Diceros bicornis minor: one gene and its partners. The protein of the gene in region 3 interacts with the protein of the main gene of each other region in a pairwise test. Links are inferred from orthologs where the notes say so. Each region holds a gene or a part of one and is shown on either strand. Other genes may lie near its edges. The genes, in order: POLR2J, MKRN3, POLR1C and TSC22D4.

Region 1 (7,381 bases), on a different chromosome or scaffold from region 3:
GGGCTCAACTCCGTAACCCCTTAGTCCACGCTGCCTAGAGGCTGTGGTGGAGGTCCCTGCTCTGTCATCACCTCTGTCCCTCCCTCCACAAATAAATCAGAGGAAACGACCCAGGGCTCATCTTATGTGGCATGAGAACACTGCAGCTCTGGGCACAGGCTGGCACCTAGACCACCCCGACCCCCAAGCTGCACATCTGGTTCCTCACCCGGAATCGCTCTTCCAGCAGGGAGAGCTCGCTGATGAGGTCTGTGATGGCATTGGTGAAGGCCTCCTGGGGGCTGTAGTCTGGTGTGGTCTGCACGCGGATGATGATCTTGTGCTCCAAGGGGTGGGGGACTTTGTAGCCAGCAAACAGCACCTGTGGGTCCTTCAGCAGCTGTCTGAGACAGAGAGATGGGCAGTGTGAGGGAGGCGAGCCCAGTGCCCCTGGGGCTTTGGCCCCTTCTGGCTTACCAGGCTTTCTAACCAAGGAATCTTCCCATTGGGTTGAGGCGTGTAAGCAAATACACTGGGAGCTGACCCCAGGTGGTTCCCTACTCTTGATTTTTAGTGTTTTTTTTTTTTTTGTCCCCCCAAAATCTTCAAAGACAACAGACTTGAAGAAGATATACCATGTGGGCACTCCTCCCACACCCCCCTACATCCATGAGCATCAAGGACCCTAGCTGGTAAACAGGGTTTCCAGCAACCTCCTCCCTCAGGGGAAGTCAGGGACCCCGCAGCGCCCACAAAGAGACCTCCCTAGGCTGTAAACATCCAGCCAGTGTTCAGTAAACCAGAACACAAAAGCCCCATTCCAGCCCCAAAAGAGCATCTGGCACAGCAAATAAAGGGAGCAGGGGCCCCCAGCTCTGAGCAGTGAAGAAATGGAGATGGAGGTCCTTTGGGCAACACCAGCTGGCAGCTGCTGTCCACATGTGGGGTCCTGTTCTACGTGGCTGTGTGAAGTGAAGCCTGCATCGTGTGCTGTGCCCTGGGCAAGCGGGGTCTCTCTCCAGAGCAGCTCAGTCAAATGTGAGCACCAAGAAGGAGGGCCCTGGCACAGGTGGGGACACTGGGCTCACACAGCAGCGGAGCAGCAGGGGTGCACCACTGGCTTATTCAGGGTGGGAGTCATTCGGACAGAAGATGGGCAACCCCACCCCCTACTTACACCAGGAGACCAGGCGGCTCCCGCCTCGGCCTCAAACACGCAAACCTGGGAGAGGCCTGGCTTCACTGATGGCACTGTCGGCAGTGAAATGACACGTCCCTGGGCCAGAGCGGCAACCACGTCACTGACCACCCACCTGGCCAGGACTTAACTGGTGTAAACATACTCACCAACCAATAGCAGGAACCCACCAGGGGCACCGGCTAACCACAGAGCCCCTCTCCCACTTCTTATTCTGTTCAGTTTCAGTCTCTGCCACACACATCTAGAATGCAAGGTGTCACTGCGGTCATGTTACCAATAGGGGCACCAATAGGGGAGCTAATCCTGACTGCTTCTCTGTGCTTATTAGCACAAAAACAGACAGACTTAAGAAAATCTTCTGGACCTGATGCTTTGCCTCAAAGAGCCCCATTAAAGGCAGCCCAAGAGCCTTGGACCTGGAACTTACGATTTAATGATGTTTCCCAGCGTGTGGTCTTCTTTGTTGATGGTGAACAAGCAGGCATTGGGTACCTTGGTGTCCTTGTTAATGGTGATCCTAGGAAGAGGCAGAGGCAACAGATGGGGGGCAGGGGCTCCCCTCCTCCCCCGAGTCTAAACCCTGCCCTTCAAGGCAGGCTCAAGTCCCACTTCCTCCTGGAAGCCTTTCCCAATCTCTTCGTCCCATGAAGACCCCTGACTCAGGGCAGCAGTGAGTCTCTACCCTGACCCCAGCCACACCCTGACTCCGTGGGACTCGCGCTGACTCTGGATTGCTCCTTTCCCTAAAGCGGAGTTTCTTAATCTTGGCACCACTGACATTTTAGGCCAGATAATTCTTCTCTGTAGGGGGCTGTCTTGTACACTGCAGGATATTAGCAGTACCCCTGGCCTCTACCCACTACATGCCAGGAGCACCCCCTTGGTGACAACCAAAAATGTTTGCAGACATTGCCAAAAGCCCCCCCTGGGGGGGAAAATGGTCCCCGATCGAGAACCGCTGCTCTCAGGGACACTGAAGTGCCTGGCAAGAGGCAGACCACAGAGCCCTGCAGACCAGGCTGTTCAGAGAAGGAAAAGCCGACGTTGAGGGTCTTCTATGCCCTGAGCCCTGGACTAAGCACTTTACATACATTACCTGATTTAATCTCCCCTTAGCGAAAATCCTGTGATTTAATGCAGTAATAAGCCCATTTTCCAGATGAGGAAAGTGGGCCTCAGGCAGACTGAGTCACTTGCCCAAAGATACAAAGTCCTTAAGGGGGGGATCCAGGAGCCAAGCCGAGCTGTTTGACCCCTAGACTACATTCTCCTTCACCCTGCAGGCCGTGAGGAGTCACTGAAGCTTTTACACAGGGGAATGAAGATCGGATGGGAGTCTACGAGCCCCCACTCTGGCTGCAGCAAGGAGGATAGAGGTGGCAGGCAGGAAGATGAGTGAGGAGGCTGCCAGATTCCAGAAAGAAAGGACTTTGGAGCCAGACATTCTGGGTTCGAATGCAGACCCACCACCTCCTGTGCTCCTGGGGGAGTTACTTAACCTCTCTGAGCCTCAGTGTCCTCATCTGCAAAATGGGGAGACTCACCACCGCCTCGCAGGCCTGTCTTACTTTGGCAGACTCGGCCGAGCGGACGCTCAAGCAAAAGCTGCTTCCATCCCCCGCAGAGGACGGGCAGGAGAAGCCCCAGAATCTGCGACCGACCCTCGGTCCGACCCTCCCCGCCCCGGCCTGCTCCACTTACTTCTTCTCGCCCTCGAAGAGCAGGAACGACTCGAAGGCGGGAGGGGCGTTCATCCCAGCGCCTCAACCGGCTCCAAAGTCGCAGCTGCTGCCACCACTGCCTCCACAGCCCTACAGCGTAACCTCTTCCGGGTTAGCGGCTGCTTCCGTGTTACGCCGGCAGTGCCAAAGCCGCGTGAGGACCGGCTCACCGCCCCCTATCGGACTGGAGGATCTTGCGCAGGTGCGAGAAACGCCCGCGGGAGGGACTATGGGAGGCTGGTGGCTCTGCGCATGCGTGAGTCCGGAAGTTCCTCTCGGGGGTTCGCCTGCGGGCGCACTTTGGCGTATGCCCCGAGCGCTGAAGGGTGGTCTGTTCGTATTGAGACGTCGTCGTCCAGGCTAAGCCGGAACCTTGAGCTGTCCCTCTCTCCACTCCCCATACCCCTTTATCCTCTTTGGAAATGTGCCCTTGGAGTACGTAGCAAGAGGCCCCTGAGTGGAGAGTGGAGCCATGGGGTAGTGTGCAGGTGTGGCCGGGGGAGCGCGAAAGAAACCCCCTTGAGCCGGACGGTTGTGTATGGATAAAGCCCCTGCCCAGGCGGACTGCTACAAGACCCCTGGCTGGGTTGTCACTGGCTTGTCAAGTGGGCTTGTGGCCTAGTGAGCTTCTTGTTAGGGGGACAGTTGGGTGAGGGCTGGGGGAGGAGGCAGGTGTGTGTATAGAGGTGTGAGAGAGGCACTCCGAGGGATAAGTGTATCCGTCCCTGTTTTGATTGGTTGATATGTTGCAGACTACAGTATAAAGGCCCTACCTGAGCTCTTTGAAGCAACAGGGGCTGGTTTCTCAGATCAGCGACTGGGGCCCTAATAGCTTCCCAGGTGTTTCTTCAGGGCTGGGCAGCAGCTGAGGAGCCCCCCAGGAAATCTGGAGCTTCCACCACCACTTCCTGGCAAGGGCCCTTTCCTACTTGAGCCTGGAGTGCTGGGGTGAGGAGTGTCATTATTTGCGGGAGGCCCACAGAGAACCTTCACTCTCCAGGCCAAGAGGGTGGGGGCCTCTAACTGGTGTGGAATAGAAGGCAGTGAGGGTAATGATGCTCCGAGATGGTACCCTCACCCTTCTGGGTTATCCTGGAAAAGTTTGGGCCAAGGATTCTACCGTTGCCAGGGTTACTGAGGCCTGAAGGTGACGAGGCTGGCCACCCTTAACTGGGGTAGGGACAGGGTGAGGAGAGGATTTTTACCCAGCAGGGGCTCCACTCCCTGCCACTGTGGAAGTCTGTCCTCTCTTGGGGAGTTCTGGTCTCACTCACCCTTTGATTCCCAGACCAACATGAGATCCTGGGCTCCAGAAGCTGTCAGCCCCCAGAGTCTTCAGCGGCTCAATGCAGGTGTCCCCAAGGGGAGGCCAAATGAGCATTCTCACCTCTCATCTTCTCATAAGACTAAGAGAGAGAGGCCTGCTGGGCACCACTGTGGAAGGGGCTGCTGGAATGTGGGGTGTTGAGAAACATTCTCCAACCTTGGAAATAAGGTGAAAGGCAAGTGTGCGGCATATTCTATCAATGTCATACTGGAGCATTGTTGGACAGGTCTGACCAAGGGTTATTTCATTAACTGGGGCAGAGATCGTAAAATGTGAGGGCTTGTGGACCAAATCAAGCCTGCCACCTATTTTTGTAAATAAAGTTTTATTGGAATACGCCATGCGCATTTGTTTACTCATTGTCTGTGGCTGCTTTTGTGCTACCAGAGTAACTGGGACCAAAACCTGCATGCCTGGGCCTTTGCAGAAAAACCTTGCCAATCCCTAATCTTGGGGAACGGACCTTTGTTTTACTTTGATATTTATTATTTGATTAAAACCTAGACACTGAAGTTACTTACTAACTTGTAGGTTTCTATGCCATAGAGAAGAAAACTCCATTAACCAGTTTTGTATCAAATATCACAATCTTATTCTAGCAATCTGTTCTTGGAATGCTTACAAATACCCAGCTTCTCAAAACGCTCTACAAACCAGCTTTGCCAAACACTCATTTCCTCCTTGAAGTGTAATAAATCTTTGATACATGTTCATTCTATATTTGTATGTCATTTTTTTATGTATTTGAAAATTACACTTTGACAGGAATTTCCCAAGAGGCGGCTGGTAGGAACTGCCCCATATTTCCTATGAGACAGGCCTGGAGGATGAAAGACACATGTACTGTGTGAGCTAGGCCCACCCAGGGCTGCGCAGGGTGCTGCCCTGTGGTGAATGCCAGCCCCCTTGGCTGCAAGCCTCTGAGTGTCCTATCAGACATCTGGGGGACCTGTCCAGGCCCCAGGTGAATAACAGGCCTGGCAATCCCAGGGTGACGTGGGGGTGGGGTGCAGAGTCCCTGGGCAGGTGTAGGGTGTGACCTTCACACCCTCCTGTGCTGTGCACAAGCAGGAGTCTTTTCTGTCTCTCTCCTTTTCCAGGTGGCTTCCAAAACGAATGTGGCACCCTGGGCTGTAGGCAGCTCTGCTCAGAGCCTGAGAGGAGAACCTGGCGTGCGGGGTACATGAGCAGTGAGGGCAGTGCCAGGCACTTATTCATTTTAACCCCCTCCTGGCCACAGTGGCCACGCCCACACCAGGATCCACTGGAGGAGAGGGTGGCGGCTGCTGCCGGGTGGGTGGCTGTGTGTGTGCAGTTACAATCCAGAATTTGATTTGTTGCCACCCCAGTAAGTGCTCACCTCTCTTTCCCCTTCACTTCCTGCATTAGGGTTCAGTAGACCCTGGGGTCCATACTTCCGGACCATGAGGTCCTTGAACCCAAGAAGATCCACAGGCATGAGGATTTGGGTGAAGCCTACGGAAGTAGCTGGAGAACCAGATGTTGTGCTGTGGGGAGGGGCGGAGCAGGCTCAGCCACCCCTGGACCCAAGCCTGGGCCAGGAGGGGAAGGAGGCCCGGCCCTGCAAAGAGGCCCATGAGGCCCCTAGGATGGTAGCATCCCCACCAAGGAGTTGAGTTGGTGGGCTGCTTGGGGGCGGGGGGACAATGCCCCCATCAAGGCTGTGGCCAGGAAAAGAGGTTGACATGGCCCCCAAGCCACAGGGTAGAGTGGAGGGGGCAGCCCCTTGCTCCTTCGACCGCCCCCCACCCCATGCCTTTCTACGCCATCCCTCAAGGAACCCAGTATGCAGCCTGCCCAGATGGCCCTGCCCCAGAGCCTGGCTGGTGAGCTGGTGCAGGGGTCCTGCCTGTGACCCAGGCCCTTGGGGACTGTCCTAGGCTAGAATTCACAGGCGAGGCTCCAAGCTTGGCTAAATAAGAGTTTTAAGAACATGTTGGAAGACCCTGCCCCTCTCCCGTCTTGTTAATTATGTTGGAGGTTACTGTGTACCTAGAGGTGGATCGGGATGAGGATGGGGAGGTGACGACAGAGGTGACCTTGCTTTGGCAGAGAGGGCTGGCATAAAGGACACTGCCAGAGCCAAGCCCGTGATTCAAGGGTCTGAACCCAGCCCCGCTGTGCAGTCTTCAGGACACTTGGAGGAAATGCCTGTTTGGGGGCTGTGAGGAGAGGGGCAGCTCGTGAGACACATCAGGCTCTGTAGCCCATGGGGGACAGAGAAATGGGACCAAGGGGTGTGGTGGGGACAGTGGCTGGGAGGAGAAAGGAGCACCCCTCAGGATGGGGGGAAGCAAAGAAGGGGCAATAGGGATTCGCAGAGGCCATGCTGGTGGCCCCAGTCCTTGGCCACTCCCACCCACTCCCTCCCCCAACCCCCATCATGAGACGCCCGAGTTGTGACAGTCACAGCAGGTTTATTGTCAGCAAAAGAGCACCGTGACACTCTCCCGGGGGGCGCAGCCAGTGGCCATGAGGGGGGCAGGCGGGGTGGTAGCCGAGAGCACAGTGGGTGCTGAGGTCGAGGCCTAGTCTCTGGCCCCATGTTCCCTCCTGCCTCTCTGGGTCCAAGGAGCGTCGGTCCACCTGGGCCTGGACTATCCTAGTGGTGGTTCCTGGCTGCGTCTGCCCTGGGCAGAGAGGAGGGTTCCTGGGGAGTCTGGGATAGTGGTGGCAATGGCTGCAGGGGCCGTATGGAGCAGCCAGACCTCAAAGAGGAGCGGGCGCTCCCGAAGTCTCCTAGAGACTTCAGGTGGGCCATGCTGGGCAAAGCCTTGTCAGCTCTGCACTTCTGGACCCCCTTGTCCCTGGCTCCCCCAACTCACCCGGCCCACAAGAGACCAGGCCGAGTGACAGGGACTGAGATGAAGGGCCAAGAGTGCACCAGGGGTCTCCAAGCACCTGGCAGGGGCTGGCGAGGGGGTGTGGGGCAGGCCTCACGTCTGCGGTTGCAGGCGGCGGCTGGGCTCTGCGGGCAGGGAGCCGGCTGGGCTGGATCTATGGGCCTCCCGGAGGTTCTGAAGCACCTGCAGCAGCTGGGCCAGCGGGTCCTCAGGGGCTGCAGGCAGACGCAGGGTGAGGCAGAGCAGGCAGGGCCTTGCCTGCCAGCACCTGACCCGGGGCCAAAGGGTC
Region 2 (7,153 bases), on a different chromosome or scaffold from region 3:
TCTTCCTAGTAAATTATAGTTTTTTACATACCATCCTTATTTATCTACAGTAATATGTTTTTCTTTAATATGAACTTTGTCTATGATAAAAAGTCACAGCACCTCTGTTTGATTTTTTCATCTTCTTTTAATGTTTCTATATTCTTATACTGTAGGTGTGTATTTTAAATAGCAACAGATTCATTTTAATTTTAATCAAGTCTGATAATCTTTTAGTTTTTAAACCATTTTCATTTAATCTAATTATGGTGTATTTGTATTATAAACTTTCCGTATTACTATTGTATTTAGTTTTTGTTACTTTCTACATTCTATTTTTAAATTTTTCCATTGTTGCATTCAGACTGGTTTCAATATTTTTATTATTTTATTTTATATTTTATAATCTTGTCACTTATATGTTGAAATTTTTGTCAAAAGCCCTTTGTTTGGAATGTCTATAGACAATACAAAATATTGAATACAAAAACTGTGTGTATGAGTCCAGGATTGTACTGTTATAGGAGATAATGAGATGATGCTAAACTGCATGGGAACACACATTTTTATATTTATAATAGCAGAGTGAGCTATTAATGCCATCATAGGAAAGACCAATGCCATATTTTGTAAGTCCTTTAAGATCTGTCTGCCACTTTTGACCAGAGCCTCTTGAATAGCTGTTTTCATCAGATGCTAATCACTGAAGCCTGTGAAAGGGAAAGATCATTCACACACCTCACACTCACACAACACAGTGAATCCTATTAGCCTTTGACTTCCAGCTTCCAGCTCCAAATTTACTTTATTACATAAACATTATAGCATAGTATGATGTATATCTTTTATATATATTTTCAAATACATAACTTTTATACACATTTATATGCATCTCTCTCTTTATATATATATATATATATATATATAATTCTTAAATACACACTTCCAAATATAAATAATTTCACATCAAGCTAAACAGGATAAAAACATGTAAACATATGCACCTAGTTCTGGTCAAGTAAAACACAAAACCACAAGGTAACCACAAGTTAAAGAGCGCACTTGAAGGGGATGAGGGAAGGAACAACATGTAAACAACAAGAGATGAGCAGCTGCACCACAAGGCCCCGCCAGGGTCCATTTCTTAAGGCTGTAGTAGCAAAAAGCTCCTTGTTCAGTTAAGACTTCTCCCTTCACCCTGTCACATTTATTCTTGAGGGACTTCAAAATGAGTGTGGAAATTCTGTAAACACTAGACTAGAACTGAGTCACTCCTGTTGAAAACAGAGACGACAAAATAAACCATAAACTGACAGTAATATTAATTTCACCAAACAATAACTTTAAGGACTTTCGATTGCTTTTTAACACAGTGAGACACCATAATCATAGGGGGAAACAAATGGGATGGGCAAGAAAACAGAGATGGATGCTCCATGAAAATGACTTCAACAGCCCCTGTGAGTGACAGATGTGTCTACAAACAGAAAACAGGCAATAGCGGATGACGGAGCCTCAGCACACTAGACCACATGCCACAGCATAATGCTACAGACTCAAATTGAAATGTTTTTTCTAGCTCATAATGAAGCAAGTCCCACTGGTCCTCTGAGAAGGGGAGCTCATTATCTCCCAGTGAAAGGAAACACTTAAACAACAGATTGGCCAGCCGAAGCATGACAAGCTCTTTTTTACAGCTTTTAAAGGGCATGTCGCCCTCTCCCACCTGCACAGGATCCTCTCCCAGGCCCTCAGGGTCTGCATGCTTGTAAAAACAGTTCTCTCCAAATGGGCAATAACCCCCGCTTGCAGCAAAATACCTGCAGGTCTTGTTTCTCATTGCCTCCTTGTACTGCTGAATAAGTTTCTGCTTCTCTTCTTCTTCCTCCACCCAGAACTCACTGGGAATAACAAGGCTGGAAGTGACCCTGCACTGCGGGCAGGATTTGACCAGCCTGCTCCCAAAGTGTTTGGCACTCCTCCACCTGCGGATACACTTAAGACAGTAGGCGTGGTTGCAGTTGGAGAGGATGCCAAAGCGGCGGTCACTGGGGTTGGCTCTGTCATACACCACCTCCATGCAGATGCCACACACTTTGTCCAGACTGCGCTGCACAGCAAACGAGAGTTCCATATCCTTCTCGTGTGCTTCAATGCAGGCCCTTACATGTTCTTCCCTCTGGACAGCATCCACCGGGTGTAAGACCTGTAGCCCACACATATCGCATATGTCTCCGTGGACATACATACATCTCTCCCCACGAAAGCATTGCCCCATGATAGCATCGCGGCAAAGCTGCTCCCCCGTGCCCACAGCAATCTGCTCCCTCTCAGTCACTGAGCTCTGCAGAGGAGCCTCGGGGACAACAAGGGCCCTGCGGCCCCGGTAGGGTTGCCCGGGAACAAACTCAATGGCATCCGCCCAGCCTTCTGCACCTGCTCCTCCGGCAGCTTCCAGGCCTGCACTCTCTCTCTCAGCTTCAAAGAAACCCCTTTCAGCAGCCGAGCCAATCACAGGCAAGGAGCGTGAGGACGCAGCAGGGGGGGCTTTCGCCACTTCCTGAGGCAGGGTCTCAACGTGCGCAGCCGTGCTGGCGCCTCGGCCTGCAGAGGCCCCAGGCGGCGAACTACGACCCTCCCTGGCCATCTGCCGGCCTGAGAGGTCGTGGGAGTAGCGACAGTTCTCCCCCTCCTTGCACCGCCCATGCAGATAATACCTGCAGGTGATTTGCTTTGTCCAGCTGCCGCTGCTCCGGCTCGGCAGCCAGCTGGGCCCGGCCCCTCCCCCTGAGGCCTGGGCAGGCCTCCGACGTGACGCTCGGAGGAGGGCCGGGCTCGGAACCGCAACTTGCCGGGGGGCAGGGCGCACGGGCAGACGGGGCCCTCCAGGACCCTCCCCTGCTGCCGCAGCACCCGTAGGGGCCCCAGCTGCCTCAGAGGCTTCAGAGGGAGCTGCAGGCTCTTCCATGGCAGCTTCTGTGCCCTGAAATGGTGCCGGAACTTCCCCGGTGCCTCTTCCTTTTGGGCTTGAGGCCCGGAGGTCAGTAACCGGCCCGGGGCTCGTCTTTGGGAAATGTGCATCTCTTTTCCTTCCCCCCACTCTCTACTTCCTGTGACTATGAGTTCCTACTTCCCTTTCTGGGCAGGCGCGGCGGACACTTCCTGTGGGAACAACGTCAGTCCTCTGTCGCGTCCGTACGGCGTGCTCGGATCCGTACAGCTGGCATGAGAGTCGGAGCGGAAGCTGCCTTTGTTTGCATCAGGCAGGGCTGCCAGCCCCTCCTCTCCAGCCTCTGTCTTGCTCCGATGCACGCCAGCTGATCCCCCAGCCGCTCGTCGGCCGTCTCCCGTGGAGGACGTAATCGCGGCCTTTGAGGTTTTAAATTTAATCTCTTCTAGCATTCCTGATTGCTTTTTCACATATGTCTATTTTAAAAATCACAATTCTGTCTTCCCCCCTGTGCTTAAAAATTCACCTTGTAGTTCGTGAAATATCTCATACGTGAATTTTATAATTTTATAAATTATTTTGCGTTCACTCCCTTTTGTCTGTGTGGGTCTTTTTTTTTTTTCTTTGTCTCATGACTGTAACTTCTAGAAGCTTTTTCGGTACATTTTCTTGACGATGCGTCATATTTTCTGGTCTTTATTTTCTGGAAATTCATGTGGGCTTACATCGGGAACGTTTTTCGCCAGCAAGGCGTTAGCGGGAGCGCTTGTGATCTGAGGCCGCTTTAGCACCTTTGAGATGTCTCAGCTCATTGTAGTCTCTCTCTCTCCCCTCCTGTGCAGAAGCCGCAGGCTTTGTCCTGTCCCTATGCTGGCTTAATAAGCTGCTGTCCCCTATGTGACCCTGGCTTTTATTTTCTCTTGCTGGTTTAACTCATGGTGGCCTTTTGTTTCCCTTTCTTTCTTTCTTTCACCCAGCTTTGTGTGGAATTGTGGCAGGCCAGTATTTCGTAACATATTCTATACCCTTCTGCTCTCAAATGGTGCCTTTTAATTTCCCTGTGTGTGAGCTCTGTTATTTTGCAGATAGATGTTATTAGATTAGTAAAATAAATTATATTCCTGCTTTGCTAAGAGTACTAACCATGAATGTATAGTGAATTTTATCATGTAGTTGTTTGCATTTTTTGAGAGATGATCATATGGTATTTTTTCCTTTTATTCTCTTAATGTGATTATTTGCACTGATAGATTTTCAAATATTCAACTTACCATTTTTTTCTAAGAATAAACCTTTCTGTGTTATGATGTATCATCATTTTATATATTACTGAATTTTTGTTTGCTAAAATGAATTTCTCAGAGGGAATTCTATAGCCTAAATTTATATTTTAAAATGGGAGAAAGTTTGAATGTAGCACAGAAATCAGATTGAAGCAAATAATAAAACTAATAAATTATTAAAGAAAAACAAACATGAAGTCAGGGGAATGAATCAAAACCCTTTGAAAGGATTATTGAAACAGATACATTCTAGTGAAATTTATCAAAAAAACATGAAGGCTCAAATAATCAAGATCAGAAATTTTAAAAGTGTTATAAGTACATTAATAACAGACATTAAAATCATGAGAGGATACCAGGAACAAAGTTAGGCCATTAAATTTGAAAAATTACATGAAATGGTTATATTTCTAGAAACATGTCTATTAATTAAAAATGACAGGAGCAGAAGTAGGAAACATAAATATTGATCTGTTAGATAAATGAAATCTGTAATTAAAAATAATTCTCTAAATGAAAGCTTTTAAAGCTTTCCCTTTGAAATAAATAAAAAGGAAAAAAATTTTATGCTTATTGTTACAAGTCCAAGCCAGTACAATGAGGCAAGAAAAGAAATAAATGATGTTAGAATTGGAAAGGAACTATTAATGGAAGACAGCAGAAAACTGAGAATAATTTACTGATAAACCATTAGATTTAATAAGCACATTTAGCAAGGACATTGGATAGGAGTGCAATATATAAAATCAGTTATATGTATATCATCAATATCACTTAAATATTTAAAATTCATAACATTAAAAGTTAACTATCCTAGAAATTAAAGTTTTAAAAATTAAAATCATGTTTATTTAAGAAGACCTAAACAAATCGAGGAATACTCTGATTATGCAGTGAAAGTCTCAATATTTTCAAAGGTAGTCTTTTCCTAATTTGATAATCATATGAGAATGTTGCTGTTTATCCACCATGAATCTAGGAAATCTTGGTGATTTTGAATTCTCCTTTATATAGTTATTGAGTTTTGTGCTGAGGATGCCAGTTCTTCCAAAGTCAGACTCACTTGCATTTGCTTTCCTTTCCTAAATGCGTTGGTTCATGCATATTCCTTTTACAGTCCCGAAGATTTTCACAGGAAAAAAGACTTGGAGCACAGATACTAGGCTTATATACCAGGCTCTTCACATATTCATGAATATAAAAATCCTGAACATAAGCCTATTATTTGTTTAATATATTCCCAGTACTGTGTCTAAATTATATTTGATCCATTTTTTATAGACAAGCACTGTCCAATAGAATGTTCTATGATGATTTGATATTTGTGCTATCCAGTACAGTAGCCTTTAACCCCACATGGCTCTTGAGCACTTGAGATGTGGCTAGAGTGACTTAGGAATTGAATTTGTATTTTTTTAATTTCAAAATTAATTTAAATAGCCATATGTGGCTAGTAGCTACTGTCTTAGTGAAGTTCTAGATAGTATGTGATCATCCCATCGCCTCAAACAAAGGAATGGAGATTTCCTAAATTGCCCAAGGCTATGCAGCTGCCACGGGGCAGGGTTTGCCTTCAGATCCCCACTGTGTGGCTCCCACTGGTGTTCATGTCCTACCATTTCATAGTGTACTATATCTTAGAGTTTTATAGTGGCAATATTTCATATACACTATTAGAAACTAAAATTGTACCCCATGATTATAAATATCACGTGAAATTGAATAACTGGAAATAATGGGCAGTGCGTCTTTAGAGAAATGAACACATAGTTCCTGTCCTGATCAAATACCTATTCTCAGAGAATTTTGTCTGACTGTCATAGATCATATTCTTGTCCTGATTTTTTTTTTTGAGCACTGATGGTTTCATACAGTCTCTGAGAACACACATCTGATCATTTCTCCAGTTACTGGGCTTGGCTGAGCCCTCTTTTCCCAAGAAACCTTAGGGCTGGGACCTGGCCGAAGCTAACTTGTACACACACCAGTCTTCAGGCCAGCATGAGATCTCCTGGCTGGTCAGCATTTGGGTGTCCAAGTGGACTGAATAAAAGCAAGGCTCCTCCTCAGCAGGCTGCAATAAGCACCTAGGTCACCAGGAGCAGAGTCACAAGGGGGGAGGTGGTTTACAGCACTGCAGGGCTGAGGCACAGTCCAGGCAGTGTAACAAAAGCCCAAGAGGTAGGAGACTAGTACAGAAGTAGAGTGTAGGATGGATAGAAAAGAGCCAGGAGGCCCGGCAGTCTTTTATTCCAAACAGCTCAGGCCTTCTGGGCCCAGTCCCATGTGGCTGATGTGTCCATATTTAAAGGACACAAATTGTTTCAAAGCAGTTTGCTCCCCCACACACACCTGCTTCAGATCCAACATTTAGGCACTACTGGAGTGTGTGAGGGCGTTAAAAGAAAGTGTCTAGAATGAGGCATCAGGGATTCAAATCTGGACTCTATACTCTCCAACTAAGAATTAACCTTGGGCAAATTAATCATCCTCTTTTAGCTCATCTGGAAAATGATGGGAATAATAATACTAATAATAACAATAATAATAATGAGTGATTATCTCACAGATCTACTATGAGTATTAAAAGAGAGAATTTTTATTAAACGATTGGAACAGTGCCTGTTACAAGGCATAGTCTTTGAGATCTCCATAAATGTCCTTTGTATTTTAGAATCACTCAAATCATCCTGTGAGTAAAGTCTCTAGGCACAGTCTCTTTTTATGTTTCTGGATCCAGCAGTAATATGTCTATAGGATCCCTGGAAATTCTTGCACATAAGAGGTAGTGAAAGAATACTTATTTTCTCATACTGTTGGACAAACTGATTTTTATTTTGAAATTTACAGAGACAGTTTTCTGCAACTCTGGTTCAGAAGTCCAAACTCACCAAATTTCATGCATTAATTATGTGCAGTTTTTTGTTTATTAACTATATCT
Region 3 (7,525 bases):
AACCCTTCTTCACGTTCCCTAAGCCACTAACAGCAAAGGCCCACTGGCTTTCTGCCTGTCAGGGACACCTCAGCAGAGTACCTCAGTCACACGTGGCCCCACTGTAACTGAACTGCCCTCCTGCCCAGGGCAGCCCATACAGTTCTTACCAATGCCTTTGACACAGTGCATGAGCAAGTCAATCTCCTGGCCAGGCCGCAGCTGAGCAATGAGGATATCATCATGCACTGGTCGGATAGTGCCCTCCGGGAAGAGGTCAGCCTGGTTTCCCAGGGGCACCCATGTCATGTGCCTGGTGTACACTGCGGGGAGAAGCACATCAGAAGACCTCAGTCCCTAAAACTAGCACCCACCAACAGGTGGGCCTTCTCCCTCACCCTACCACTCCTCACCTTTGTGGTTTACATAGAGTTCATTGGGGTCAGAGGAATCTTTAGCAGCATGGGGGTTCCGAGTACACCTGACTTGCAGCCGAAACTGCAGAGTATCTATCTCTGTGCCTTCTTCATCTCCTGCAGAAAGGGGGGAGGTGGCAGCTCTTAAAGAACTAGTCAACGTTTGAGTGCTAGACACCATACTGAGTGCGTTGTTTACATTTCTCATTTAATCCTCTTGACAAACTGAGGAAGGCAAGGGCAAGTGTTCTCACAGGTAACAACTGATGTACCAAAAAATGAGTAACTTGCCCAAGGTCATGCAGTAGTCAATCCAGGATTTGAACACAGGCAGTCTGATTCCAGAATCTACTTCACAGGCAAACTGCTTGCCTTTTCCCAAAATTTCACTTTCTCAAACACTCACCTTGGTTCCGATATTCAAAAAGACGGGGATCAGCATGAATGGGAATGAGCCCCAAGCGATGAGCGAGGATCTCATCCTGGACAATGGACGTGTTGTTGTACACCAGGACCTTTTCCACAGCCATGGTTGGCACCTGCCCAAGAAATAAGAATCATCTACAAAGATCTTATAGACTCCCCATCTACTCCCTGCCTCCTGACATAGGGAGATGGGAGAGACCTCTTCCTAGAAGAATGCTTGATAAAAAGTTTTCAAAGAATGAGGAGAAATGCTCAGCAATATTACAGGAAAAATAAAGAGGAGGGGTGGCTTGAGATAATTCTCCAAGCGAGGCCATGGCACCGTTTCCCCTCACAAGTCCACCCTTGCCACCATGCCCACCAATACCTCGGCTAACAGAATGCGTCGAAAAGCATTGGCTATGGCTGCGTCGATTCCCACCATGTCAAACTCCAATGAGTTTTCATCCATGTGTACCACATCCACACGGAAATTCTAAAAGGACAGGAAAAGCACTAAATGAAGTCTGTTCTCTATAGAACAAGGTACCTACCCTCTGGATCTTCCTCTCAACGTTTTAACATTCTCTCTCATCCAAAAACCTCCCTTGGCCCAGATGTCCCTCATTAGATGTTCCTTTCTCCTCCAATCCTTTATTAGTTTCTTGAAAAGTCTTCCTGTTTTTACCTTTCATTCATTTAAAACCCTCTGCCATATGGCTTCCAGCCAGTCCATCCACGGAGGCTATTCTACTAAAGAACAGGCTTCCATGTGACACTACTTAACCCTTATCTTACTAGACTCCTCTGCTGCATTTGGCATTGTTGCTAGAATCTCCCTCTTTTCAAACTACTGCCTTGATTTCTGAGCACCAGTCTTCTGGTTCTCTTCCTTCTTTTTCTGATGAATCCTAAATTCACTATCTTCCACCCACCCCATAAATGTTACTATTTCCCAGGTTTTTGTCTCTCTCCAGAGTGACCTGACCACACTCATGGTTTTAGCAACTATCTGTACTAACAACTCCTCACATTATATCTCACTTCTGATCTTATTTCAAACATATATTCTACTAGCCTTCTAGACTTCTCCACATGCAGGAAACGGAACGCATCATCATTCCCCTCCCCCAGACCCATTTCTCATCAGTAAAGGACACCACCATCCATCAAAGCAGTTCCCCGAGCTAGATCATCTCACGCTCCCCCTCACGGCCCATATCAAAGCAATCACCAAACTCACCTTCTCTCTCTCCTTTGCTCTATTTCCGTGATGATAATCTTAGTTCATGCCTTCAACCTCAGCTCCCTATACAATTCTATCACAAATCTGCCTGCCCCATATGATGATCCTCAGATTCATTCTCTCCCAACCATTAAAGTTGCAAATCTTATCAGCTCTACTTAAGAGCTCTTCAAAAGCTCCTTATTCCTATGCACGCCGGCCCGCTTTACATTCTAGCAATAATTAACTGCTTGGACATACCCGGAGCACAGCTCACAAAGGCCTTTATAATTCAGCTTCTGTTCTTAGTCCTTCCTCACCCTTCGCTGTCGTCAGCTTCCACTCACCGTTTAAAGCTCAATTCAGATGTCATCTCCTTCAGGAAGGAAATCATTCATACCTCTGCCCCCTTTCCCATTCTAGATTAAGTGCCTCTGTGGGATACCCCTCACCCCACCCGCAGTCTTCCTTACTGCTATTCACCGCTTTTACCACATCATACTGGAATCATTTGTTTACGCGCGCTCTTTTCCAACAAGACTGAACTTCTTGTTCGCAAAAGAGGGCAGAAACCGTGCACACGGAGTGCCTAGCACACTGCTCAATAAACGTTTCATGAACGGAGCGAACCCCCAAGGGCACCTTGTAAGGGAGGGGCTGCTCACATCACACGGTCCGTTCCTCATACCCTCTCCGGCCCCACCCACCTTCTCGAAGCGGTCCTGGTCCCAGGCATCATCATAGCCGGAATAGTTACCGGGAAAGTCGGTGGTATGAACCTAGGGCAAAGAGACGAGTCTGCTGCGAAGGGGCAGCGAGCCCAAGTCTGTCCCCACATCGATCCAAACTCATCCCTGTCTCGCTCTCATTTCTCCTCCCGAGGTCAAGGGCACAAGGCTTACATTGCGAACCCCGAACTCCCCTAGAACCACGCGGCTCCGCATTTCTTCCACCGCCTGCGCCGCCGCCATCTTCAACCTCTGCACGTGACTAGAGCAGCAAACTGACGCGTGCGTTCTAGTCGCCCTCCTCCGTCTCCGTGGCAACGCACCACCTCCTGGAATCTTAAATATCGCGAGATTCTGCCCCGCCTCCGTCCACGTCCCCAACTTCCGGCAGTCAGTCTTGGCCAAACATCCGGGTTCGTCTCTTTTGCGTTCCGGTGGGTCCCACCTCTCTCTCTCTCGTCCCTGGACATCTCCCTCCGTCAGTCCCACGTCTCTCCCACTACTCCGCGCTCGGTGCCAGCGCGGGCTTCAGCGACGGGGGCTCTCGAGGGCCATGGCAACTACGGCGGCGCCGGCCGGGGGCGCCCGAAACGGGGCTGGCCCAGAATGGGGAGGGTTCGAAGAAAACATCCAGGTAATGGCCCCAAGGCTCCGACTGCTAGCAGCCCCAGGGCCGGCAGCCGTCCTGAAGTGTCGTGGGGACCCTCCCTCGGAGCCTGGACGTCTGCTCCATTTGCAGCCCTTTTGCTCTCCTTTGGGTCTTCGTGCACACGAAAGGCAGTGGGGCTAGTGCTGACCTGAAAGGTCCAGACTGGTACTCCAGCCGGAGGGCCTCAGATCTCTGGGCTCGCCCGCTCTTTCGGAACAATTAGGAGGTCGGTCGGGGTCCACTGGCGCTGGCTAAAACCATACTGTGTACGCAGCCTCGTTTAGGGGTTGGGAAAGACAAAGGAAATGGACACTTTTGGAGCCCTTTGAGGCTTTGATAGGGAAGATAGGACAAAGACAGGTATGGAAGACAGGGAGTAGGTTTCCCAGGCAAGAAGAGAGCCAACCAACCAAGCGTTCTGAGAGCAAAACAGGGGAAGATAGTGGCATGATCTGTGGTGATTCCAAGCCATATCCCCAGCAGTGACAGAACAAGGCCCCAAACCCTGGGATGAACAGAGGAGGACTTAATGGATGGAGCAGAAAGGTCCTGCACTCTAGGAGCCATTGTCTTCACAGGGTGGGGGCTCGGCTGTGATTGACATGGAGAACATGGATGATACCTCAGGTTCCAGCTTCGAGGACATGGGTGAGCTGCATCAGCGCCTGCGCGAGGAAGAAGTAGATGCTGATGCAGCTGCTGCTGAAGAAGAGGATGGGGAGTTCCTGGGCATGAAGGGCTTTAAGGGACAGCTGAGCAGGCAGGTGGCTGATCAGGTAAGCAAGAGTGGATCCCTGGCAGGTGGAAAAGTATACCTAAGCAGGCCCCAGGTTCTGGAGTTGGTGTTGAAGTTCACCCCAGATTGTCCAGTTAGAACCATGTAGAAATCCAACAGAAAATAAGCTACAAGGCCTAGAGCCAAGAGTCTCACAATACCCACCCACCCCACCCCCGTCTTCCTTACTTCAGATGTGGCAGGCAGGAAAGAGACAAGCCTCCAGGGCCTTCAGCTTGTACGCCAACATCGACATCCTGAGACCCTACTTTGATGTGGAGCCTGCCCAGGTGCGAAGCAGGTGAGGATTCTTCTCCTGACAGAAGCTGCCCTCTTAACACCTAGTCCTTCATCCAAACCACAACCAGATACCAAGTCTTAAGCTCCCCTCTTCATGACCCCCGCAGGCCTCATCATTGCACCTGTGCCCAGCCACACCATACCTCTTACCCGTCATAGAACAGGACATGGGGATAACGCATTGCCTTTTTCCTCTTCTCCATCTAGCAAACTACTCATCTTCCCTCAAAACCTAGCTCAGATGTCACTTCCTTTGTTCTCCATTCCTCATCCCCATCCTTTTTGTCCTCTCCTAGTGGTCCTATAGATCTTTCTGCTTTCCTCTAGCAGATAAAATTTCAGCCAAGCTGTACTTTCTTATTCCTGTGTCTGTGTCCCCAGATTCCACCTCAAAAGCAGGCTCTGTTTTATTTTTTTATTCCCAGCACCACAACAGTCTCTGAACCAGAACATCAGTGCATAGTTGTTGAATGACTTTTCAAGAACTGGATTTAATCTTGGCTTGGTTCTTTGTTTACCCATTAATGTAACCAATGCTTATCAAATACCCAGTACCACTCCGCAAGGCTTTATGAAGCACTTGCTCTGTGCCCGGCACTTTAGTAGTTATGTCTGATTCAGTGGTAAAGATGGATGAGAGCCTTGCCCTCAAGTGCAGTTACAATACAGCACTCATGTGCTATGATGGGGCACACGGGAGGATCACCTGGACCCAGAGTAGGCTGGAGGGTGGGACAAGGCAGGTTTGCCAAAGGAAGTAAAATCTAGCCAGAATCCAAGGTATTATTAGGAGCTACCCGCTTAAGAAGAGGGTGAGGGAGTGACTTGTACTTTTTCTTCCTTTTGCCTGGACGTTTTTACCACTTAGCTATATTTTAAAGAACATGCTCAGCAGTGCCTGGAGAAATGGTAAGCGGGAAGAGGCAGGAGGCACACTGGCTCCCTCAAGTAAAACCTTTCCTTGTAAACCTCTCCCAGGGCTTCACCTTCACAGCCCTGAATTCTGGGCATTCTCCCCTGGGGTTTGCCTGTCTTTTAAAGGGGAGCAGGTCAAATAGGTAAATGATCATGCCTTCTCCTGAGGCCCAGCTGGGCTGAGTTCTCCATTTTGCTGTTGCATCAGTCAGCACGGCATCGGAGGGTTGTCCTTCCTGGAAGCATTTTTAGGGGCAAGGAAGTGATTCCCTCATTCCTTGTCCATCTTTACTGTTCTCTTCTCCCTTTACCATCCAGCATGTTCTCTGGAGTTAGAGAGATGAATAAGATTCAGGCCCTCCAGAACCTCATAGCCTAGTGCTGCCTCTGCTCTCATCTCTCCTCTCCTCTCCCAGGCTCCTGGAGTCCATGATCCCTATCAAGATGGTCAACTTCCCCCAGGTGAATAGGGGGTAGCATGTCTGGAAGAGCCCGGGGAGGCACTAGGGCAGAGGGTGGGGCCACCAGGCAAAGCATGGGAAGGCATCAACAGAAGGGCCATTGTACTCTCCAGCCTGAGTGAGTTGGTATATTGACAGAAAATCGCAGGTGAGCTCTATGGACCTCTCATGCTGGTCTTCACGCTGGTTGCCATCCTCCTCCACGGGATGAAGACATCTGACACCATTATCGTAAGCAGGACAGAGGACTTTGGGGGGTGGCTGAACTGAGTTGAAAGCTGCCCAAGGAGACGATGGTGGAGTGAGGTAGCAGCAGCCTCTGAGGAAGGCCCTGGGGGAGGCTGAGACCAGAGGCCTCCCAGGACTAAGTAGAGCATTCATCCCACAGCGGGAGGGCACCCTGATGGGCACAGCCATTGGCACCTGCTTCGGCTACTGGCTGGGTGTCTCGTCCTTCATTTACTTCCTCGCCTACCTGTGCAATGCCCAGATCACCATGCTGCAGATGCTGGCACTGCTGGTAAGGAGTCCCGCATGGTGGTGGGCAAGGGTGATCTTAAAAGAGTAGCTAGGCCTTGGTCTGCATCTGTCTTGGGGCCCCAGGGCATGGAGTGGGGTGAGCTGGCCAGTGGACCACTTCTTTGTCAGGGTCCCCATGAGGGTCTAGGCCAGCCCAACCTGAGTGATTTTCCTCTCCACCATCCTCCTTCCTAGGGCTACGGCCTCTTTGGGCACTGCATCGTCCTGTTCATCACCTATAACATCCACCTCCACGCCCTCTTCTACCTCTTCTGGCTGCTGGTGGGGGGGCTGTCCACCCTGCGCATGGTAAGCTGGGCAAGAGGTGTCCAGAGGTGGGCTGTCCTCTCAGGGAGTTGGGTTAAACAGCCCAGAGCTCGGGCAGAACCCCACAAAGGGCTCTCAATGGGAGGGAGGAGCCCAAAGATGGTTCTGCTCCAGGGAGGAGTGTCATCTCCACACTGCTCACTTCGGAGCCAGGCCCTCTGAACTGTATTCCTGTGGCTCTAGGTGGCAGTGTTGGTGTCACGGACTGTGGGCCCCACACAGCGGCTGCTTCTCTGTGGCACCCTGGCTGCCCTGCACATGCTCTTCCTGCTCTATCTGCATTTTGCCTACCACAAGGTGGTAGAGGGTGAGTGACAGGAGGGCCTGGGGGGGCGGGGAGAGAGCTGCCTAGGGCAGGGCCCAGCTGACTCTCACTCACCTTCCGTCCTCCTTTCAGGGATCCTGGACACACTGGAGGGCCCCAACATTCCACCCATGCAGAGGGTCCCCAGAGACATCCCTGCTGCGCTCCCTGCTGCTAGGATTCCCGCCACCCTGCTCAACGCCACAGCCAAGGCTGTCGCAGTGACCCTGCAGTCACACTGACCCCACCTGAAATCCTTGGCCGCCCCCCTTTCCCCCAGCTGCGGAGCGGAGGAGGATTAAAGGACAGTACTGATGACATGTGTCTCTTTGATGGGGTCTGCAGCTGCCACAGAGCTGTAGCCGCTTAAGCACCTCCTTGACGCCTGTCAGGGCTTCTGAAGGGCACAAGGCCAAGAACGCGTGGCCGGGACTGCAGGCTCTGCAGCCAGTGCAGAAAGTGGGCCAGCTCCTCCGAGGCCCTCTCCACCTACCCCTTCCTTCCTCTTTGTCTCTCCCACGA
Region 4 (7,234 bases), on a different chromosome or scaffold from region 3:
GGCTCACGGGGTATCAGAGAGGGGCTCTGGTCTGCACTCCAGCATCTTCTGCCAGCTGAACCAGGACCCCTAATCAGAGGCTAGTCAGAGAGTGTCTGCCTTCTGTCACTTGGCTTCTTAAAGCAAGTCAAATGTCACTTCCTCAGAGAGGCATTTCCCCATCATTCTAGTAGTGGATTCCCCCGAACTGTTCTATTTTTTTATAGCACCTAATATTATAGGAAATTAAAGTATTTTTGTCTCTCCGCTGCTAGAAGGTAAGCTCCAGAGGGCAGAGCTTAGTTTATTCAATAGCTATTTGTAGAATGAATGAATCCTCAGAAACTGGTCCTCCACGCCCCCCACCCCCCCACCTCCCATTCTAGCCTCTCCTCTCAAACTTCTCGGTCTCAGGTGAAGTTCTGCTCCTGCGCTTGCTCCCTCCTTGGGGGTGGGGGGGAGTGGTTGCAGAGATGGGGGGAGGCGGAGCCTGGGTGTGGACCCACACAGTCCAACAGGCGCTGGGGGTGGCTGCAAAAGGGCGGGGGCCACAGGAACAAGACGCCTCTGTGAGGCCCCAGGAGGCCCCAGCTTCTCGGAAAAGCCAAGAACTGAGTCCAGGGTGGTTAGAGGGACAGAGCAGAGGAAGGGGGCCCAGGTGGCATGGGGGAGTGTGGAAGGGAGACGGACTTCTGGGCAGGGAAGCAGCAGCACAGATGCAGGCACACAGGAAGGGATCAGGATGCAGGGGAAGCAAAGGGGCTGGGGGCACTGAAGGGAGAGGGGCAGGGTCAGCGGGCCCAAGGGAAGCTCAGGCAGGGGTTAAGGACAGACAGAGGCTGGGGCGAAGGGGGCCTGCTTTGGAAGAGTGTGGGGACAGGGACCAGTAAAGGAAACAGCGTCTTCTCCCCTGGGGTAGGAACTGAATGAAAGAGCTCAAAAAAAAACTCAAGAAAAGTAGGGGTGAGGGGAGCACGAGAGATGTGAGCTTGCGGCCAGAAGGGGTGGGGGGGAGCCAGTCCTGACCGGTCCTGACAGGGCCCAGACACCCAGTCTCAGGCTATTTTTATACTGTGGTCTGTGCCCAAGGCCAGGAAGGGGAAAAGCTCTCATCCTCACACTCCCTGACTTTCCTCCTGCAGCTCAAGGTGTTATTTTCTCCTTCAGGACAGACACATCCAACCCCCACATTCCTCGCTGCCCACCCCCCACCCCAGGGACCCAGGCATCCTGCCCCCCAGCCCAGACTTGTTCCTCTTTTGGAGACAGGAAGCAGAGAGAGCAAAGGATTTAACTCTTTCTCAGCTGCTTCCCACCTCTCCCACTCCATGGTGGCCACCCCTAGTTATCGATCCTGGAGAGGCCCAGATGCAGGGAACTGAGACAGACAACCGGGGGTGGAAAGGACATACCAGCAAGGCCCCCATCCTTGTAACGGGCCCCCCACCCAATTCCTCAGGTCCTCGGAAAAATTTGGCTTAAGACAAAGCTGAAGACGGGGCTGGGATGGGTGTGTAGTGGGAAAAAGAAGACCCCCACCTTTGGAATGGGGCTACAAAGGACAGACTTAGAACAGAATGCCTACTTGTTAACCTGCCCTGCCAACCTTGGCAGCTCCTCTCCCAGAGGCCCAACCACCCAGCCCTGCCTGGGGCCTCCACCCTCAACGCCTGAAGCCAGAAGGGGTGAGACCAAGACAGAAGGTGAAGGCCAGCATGGGGAGGCCACATCCCTGTGATGGAGAGATGGGACTACGCTATATGGAGATGGCGACTTGGGCCAAAGGCAACAAATGACAGGCCAAAAAGAAAGAAAGAAGGTGCAGAATGTGGGGAAGAGGGAGCCTGAGAGAGAAAACAAAGGCAGTGAGAGGAGGAAGAATGGACTTCCAAGTGAGATGGCAGGAAAAAAAATGAGAGGCTATCTGATCTGACAGACAGGTGCTGATGAAGTGAGGAGAAAGTGGTATGGAGGTGGAGGCAAGGAGGCCCAGGCTGGAGGTTAGGCCAAGGCTGAGACGCACCACCCCTCAGGTGTCTCCCCGACTCTGGAACCCAGCTCTTACCTGCCCCATCTCCTCTGGAGGAACCAACTCCGTCCTCAGCCGCAGGGCTCCATCCTTCGTTCGGGACAGTGGAGGGGTCACGGCTGCTGAGCCCCCAGCCTCCACTTCCACCCTCAGGGAGGGCAGGGGCGTGGCGGCACTGGGCGGCCCCATGCTATCCCCAGTCCCAGGCTCTGGGGGGTGCTGCTGCGGTGGGGAGGCTGACATGGGGGGTGTCTCCCCCTTGGCCTTGCCAGGCACCGCCAGCTGGCCCAGCCCCCCAGTGAAGGAACGGGCCTGAGGTCCAGGGGAGGTGGGAGGCGGGCGGAGCCAGGAGGTGGGGCCCTGAGACAGGCTTGGCTGTGGGGTAGGGGCGCCCAGGCCCAAGCTGGCCAGCTCCAACCTGGAATCCAAAGATCTGCCCCCGGTACCCCCCGAGGCCCCTCGAATTCCCTCCAGGAGCCTGCCAAAACTAGGGGGCTCCAGGTCTCTCTCGTAAACATCCACACACGTCCAACGGCCTCGGCGATAAGGCTCTCCCAGGCCGTGGGGCAGCTTCACCACCCGGAAACGGGAGGCTGGGGCCCCAGGCGGCGGGGAGCCATTCCGGGGGGTGCCCTTGCCCCCCGGCTCAGGGTTGGGCTCCCCATTGGGCAGGCGGGGCGAGGGCCCGGTGGGGGCCGGCGGGGTAGGGGGATCTGGATCCCCTGGGCTCCCTGGGCCGTCGTAGTCCGTGGTGACGCTGGTGATTTGGAAACTACTCTTCTTCTTGCCCCCACTCATGGTCCTTGGGGCTCAGGACTAGGCCAAGGTGGGCAGGGGGGCAGTGGTGGATCTTCGAAGGGGCTCAGGCGCCCCTGGAACAGGGGGGCCACATGGCGGGTACATCAGGGCCCCTGGGGCCGTCTGGGTCCGACATGGCAGGAGGGCCTTGCGGGGAACTGGGGGTGCCTGGTTGGTGAAGGGAGAACAGGGTAGGGGTGGTGGCAGGAGCGGGGGTGGGGGGGGCCCGGCAGGGGCAGGTTTTTCCTGCTGCTGTCGCTGCCGAACTCCAGAGCTGAGTTTGCAAACTGGAAAAAGAGAGAGAGTGTGTATGTGTGAGAAAGCAGTGGGCAGGCCACCTCCGGGGCTTCCTCTCTGGGGAGCAGGATGGGGGAGGAAGGGGAAACCGCCAGAGACCCAGAGACAAAGAGACAGCCAGAGACGACAGAGACCAGGGCAGACGGGACGGATCCGAGCGCGCGCACAGAGCAGGAAGAGGCAGCCCAGACCCAAAGTTGGGCATTTCTCGCCTGGGATTCAAACTCACGGGACCGAGTCGTCCCAAGGGCAAGGGCTCCAGGGCCTGGGGGAACGGGGGTGAAGCAGCTCCTCGGCCTGGCCCGGCCACCGGGAGGCCTCTGCTGAGCCTCGAGGCCCGGCACCCCAGCTCCCCCATCCCTGGGGCAGGCCCTGCCCCTCCGGCCCAGCGCCCCGCCCAGCCCAGAGCCCTACCTCTCGGCTTCGGCCACCGAGCTGGGCCGGGGGTTCCGGCTGCCTAAGACGTCCGGCTGTCCTTTTCCTGGGGCCTCCCGGCCCCAGCAGCGCGGGGCGCGCAGGTGGCGACCAGAGGCTGTCCGGTCCTCTTCAGGGGCAGCACCTCGCCCCGCAAGGCATCTCCGTGAAAAGTTTGCCCTCCAGTAAAGAAGGAACCCCCGCCTCCTTGGTGGAGTCCAAGCGCGGCCTCTGAAGCCCCAAGGGTCTCCGGACCGATGCGGGAGGGGGCGGCTCAGCCCCCCGCTCCTCCAGGTGGAGCCGCCTCGGTGGTCGGGGCGAGTGGGTCTCCCAAGTCTCCTCCCGCGTGGCCTTGCTGGGTCTCTCTCGGCTCCTCAGCTCCTCTCAGTTCTGTCTCTGTCTTTCTCTTTCTGGGCTGTTGACAACCCCCACACCAGGAAGTCCTGCCTCCTCGGGCCTGCTGACTGCTCCTCTCCTCCTCCTCCTCCTCCTTCCCCTCTTCCTCCGCCCCCTCTCCTCCTGGGGCTCCCGGCCAGCTGGCCCGGGGCCAGGCCTGCCACCGCCGCTGCTGGTGCAGTTGCTGCGGCTGCTGCGGCTCCTGGGGCCCCGACCGAGCTGCCTTAACCCCACACCTGCTGGGCCCTAGCCCAGCTCTTCCTCGGAGGGAGGGGCTGTGGAGGGCGGAGAGAAAGGGGAGGAGTTTGAGCGAGGCCAGGGATTCCCTTACTTGTAGGCGCTCGCTGCCATTGGCCTACAGACACCCAGGAGTGGGAAGGAGCTTAGCCGGAGCTCTGCTGGGCGCCTGCCGCCCCGTAAGCGCCCAGTAAATGTTACGGTGCTGCTGCAGCTGTTAGTGTCATGTCTTCGCTGGTTCTCACAGTAACTGTACGAGGAAGGTTATTCTCCCCTGTCCTGATTTTAAAAAGTGGATTATTATGACAATTTTCAAACATGCCCCAAAGTAGAGAGAGTAGTGTCGACAGTTATCAACTCACAGCCAGTCTTGTTTCATCTGCCCCCCAATATCTTTTGTTGTTTTGTGCTGGAGTATTTGAATCACATCCCAGACATCATAGTATTCCCCTTCTTAGATGTGGAAATTGACACCCAGGAGGTTCAGAAAAGCTGTCAGTGGTGGCGCAGGGACATTTCATACAGTCAGAGGTGTTCTTGTCTGGCCCCCAAACAGAGAGACAATGAAGACACTCTCGAGAAGGTGCTGACTGGCACTTTCTTTCCAACCGCTGGTCACACATATGTATGTACACGCAGTCACCCAACACACATGTGGCTGAGGATGACGAACCCAGCTGGCCACCAGCATGGGCCCCTCCCTACCTCTCACCCTTCCTGCCTTTCCCATCCCGTCCCTCCCTCACTCTGGTGAGTCCACACACACTCATAAAGGGCCTACTATGTGCTTGGCATGAAAGAATAAACTGCCATTTTCTCTTTTTTGGCTCCCCCAACCAACATTCTAAAAGGAGTTATTTTAGCAAGAGCCATGTCTAATGGCCACATCTGCCCTCACTCCCAGGTTCAGAAGGAAATGGAGTGTAATTAATTTGGGTCAAATGGAACGGGTCTAGAGCATATTAAAAATTCCTCGTATTTGTCCACTTCACATGGTTATCTCATGGATTCTCAAAACAGCCCTGGGCAGAAGTGGGGTGGGTTTTGAGCTAGTGTTTCCGCTAAGGAAACTGAGGCTTACAGGCATTATTTGCTCAAGGCCTCAGAGCAGGTGTTGGATGGCGTTGAGACCAGTGCTGGGCTCTGACACATCCCTCCTTCCTCAGCTTTGGCTCATGGAAATTTTTTTTTTGTTTTTTTGGGGTTTTTTTTGCTAGGTAAGATTAGCCCTGAGCTAACATCTGTGCCAATCTTCCTCTACTTTATGTGTGGGTTGCTGCCACAGTGTGGCTGACAAGTGGTGTAGGTCGGCAACCGGGATCCGAACCTGTGGGGAATGTGCAGAACTTAACCACTACTGCAGGGAGCTGGACCCTCATGAAAATTTTTAATCACTCTTTAGGGTTAAGCAAAAACAAAATGATGCAAAATCCTTTGCCCCACGTTTATATATTTATTCTTTATCTCTTTGTTAAAATGCGTCTCTACTCCTGCCTCTCTCCCTTCATGGAGACAATGGCTACCATAGCCAAGTCCTGAGGCCTCCCAAGGCGTGAGGTCCAGGAAGCAGCTGAAGTAGCCTCCCACACAACTCCCCCTCCAACCCCCTCCTCTCTGGCAATATTCAGAACAGAGCCCTGTGCTCCGCCCGGGATCCTTCAGCGCAGACTTGCTACGAACTATTCAAAACTTATCTTGGGACCCTCCCCTTCCCACCAGCTCAGACGCTCAGCATCAACTTGGACTCCTCCATGTCTGCAGTCGCTGGGACGTTGTTGGTCTCTGTGGACATGCTTGTTGAATGAATAAATAAAAATTCATTCACACTAAGGCGTAAATGTGAAAGGACTGGTATGTATTTTATTGTTTTTCCTCCCCTGGAGGCATTTATAACAGCCCTTTAATGTGTGGGGCCCTTTACGATTTACAAAGCTCTTGGTAGTCATTATTTTGCTGCCTCCCAACCACTTTATTGAGGTAGGTATGAGATGAGGCATCTCTCAGAGGGGCTGTGCCATTTGCCCAAAGCTGCACAGCACATCAGCAAAGACTTTGCCATATAAAGTAACATTCACAGGTTCCAGGGATTAGGGCGTGGATATTTTATGGGGGTCCATTTTTCAGCCAGTTAAGGGTAGAACCGAAGTCTTGCAGCTATTGTGCGGCAAAGAGATTTCCAAGGGAGAATTTCTCAGGGAGCCGATGAGAAAGGTGATGCGAGGCGGGGGGCGAGGTCGCGACCCTCCGCGGCCGCCGCGACCGCACCTGGGCCGTGGCCGCGGTGGTCCCAGTGAGAGGCCGACCCCGGGGCGCCCAGGTCTCGGCAGGCGCCGCCAGCGGAGTCAAAGGTTAGTGGGAGGGTGACTTGGGCGGCGGGGACGGACGGGTGGAAGACTTTGAGCCCAGGCGGTGAAACAAGGTCCGGGCGCCTGCGAGGCTGCAGGGATAAGCGACGGGTACCAAGCGAGCCAGCTCCCGTGCCCTCCCCGCACGTGGGGGGCGGCGGGAAGACGGGGCGCGGCCAAGGGAGCACGCCCCCTGCTGGGTAGAGACGCAGATGGTCCGGCTTCCCACTCAGAGCCCCTCGGCCCGGAAAGCGGCCCCCCCTGCCGGCCTCGCCACCTCACTGCACTCGGGGCCCCGCAGCTGCAGCCTCGCCCCGGCCCGACGCGGGGTGCGCACCCGGGGAGCGCCTGGCGCACGGGGTACGCGCGTCGGTGCAGACCCCCGGCTGCCGCTGGGGGGCGCCGCTGCACGCTGCGCCCCGCTTCGCTCCGCCGGGGCCTTGGACACTGAACCGAGCACGGCCCGGCCGGGCCAGGGGCGAGGGGAGGCGAGGAGCGGACGCCCCAAAGCGGGGGCGGACTGGCGCCAGGTCCCCCGCGCCCCACGATCTTTCTCCGAGTCCCCCTGGGGGCTCCGCGGCCCTCGTGCCCCCCACCCCAGCCTGGCGGCGCAGCACAACGCGGCCGCTCCAGCTCCGTCCTTGGAGGGTGTGGAAGGGTGGGTTTGGGGCCGGGGGCGGGTCTGGGGGCGGACCCGGAGGCGGGGCTGTCTCTGCGGCAGGGCCCAGCTCGGCTCCCC

The links.
Region 1: the proteins of POLR1C (region 3) and POLR2J interact in binary tests that used the Homo sapiens proteins (3 or more experiments, as listed by UniProt). The link is inferred for Diceros bicornis minor from reciprocal best matches to the Homo sapiens genes POLR1C and POLR2J.
Region 2: the proteins of POLR1C (region 3) and MKRN3 interact in binary tests that used the Homo sapiens proteins (3 or more experiments, as listed by UniProt). The two-hybrid records come from large-scale screens. The link is inferred for Diceros bicornis minor from reciprocal best matches to the Homo sapiens genes POLR1C and MKRN3.
Region 4: the proteins of POLR1C (region 3) and TSC22D4 interact in binary tests that used the Homo sapiens proteins (3 or more experiments, as listed by UniProt). The two-hybrid records come from large-scale screens. The link is inferred for Diceros bicornis minor from reciprocal best matches to the Homo sapiens genes POLR1C and TSC22D4.

What each region holds. Positions count from the first base shown.
Region 1 is NC_080765.1:3,707,899-3,715,279, reverse strand, and holds the start of POLR2J (DNA-directed RNA polymerase II subunit RPB11-a), read right to left. Parts: upstream 3,011-7,381; 5' UTR 2,935-3,010; coding exon 2,882-2,934; intron 1,698-2,881; coding exon 1,608-1,697; intron 384-1,607; coding exon 209-383; intron 1-208. Other genes in the region: RASA4B (ras GTPase-activating protein 4B), read right to left, coding at 7,186-7,307. UniProt on the Homo sapiens protein: Core component of RNA polymerase II (Pol II), a DNA-dependent RNA polymerase which synthesizes mRNA precursors and many functional non-coding RNAs using the four ribonucleoside triphosphates as substrates.
Region 2 is NC_080744.1:77,047,418-77,054,570, forward strand, and holds MKRN3 (probable E3 ubiquitin-protein ligase makorin-3), read right to left. Parts: upstream 3,020-7,153; 5' UTR 2,948-3,019; coding exon 1,457-2,947; 3' UTR 312-1,456; downstream 1-311. UniProt on the Homo sapiens protein: E3 ubiquitin ligase catalyzing the covalent attachment of ubiquitin moieties onto substrate proteins.
Region 3 is NC_080753.1:22,256,430-22,263,954, forward strand, and holds the start of POLR1C (DNA-directed RNA polymerases I and III subunit RPAC1), read right to left. Parts: upstream 3,020-7,525; 5' UTR 2,997-3,019; coding exon 2,928-2,996; intron 2,805-2,927; coding exon 2,733-2,804; intron 2,446-2,732; exon of another isoform or gene 2,044-2,445; intron 1,297-2,043; coding exon 1,189-1,296; intron 935-1,188; coding exon 802-934; intron 513-801; coding exon 393-512; intron 303-392; coding exon 150-302; intron 1-149. Other genes in the region: protein YIPF3, read left to right, coding at 3,307-3,387, 3,981-4,178, 4,372-4,478, 5,809-5,854, 5,992-6,084, 6,242-6,373, 6,568-6,681, 6,883-7,006 and 1 more. UniProt on the Homo sapiens protein: DNA-dependent RNA polymerase catalyzes the transcription of DNA into RNA using the four ribonucleoside triphosphates as substrates.
Region 4 is NC_080765.1:5,317,173-5,324,406, reverse strand, and holds the start of TSC22D4 (TSC22 domain family protein 4), read right to left. Parts: upstream 3,005-7,234; 5' UTR 2,807-3,004; coding exon 2,045-2,806; intron 1-2,044.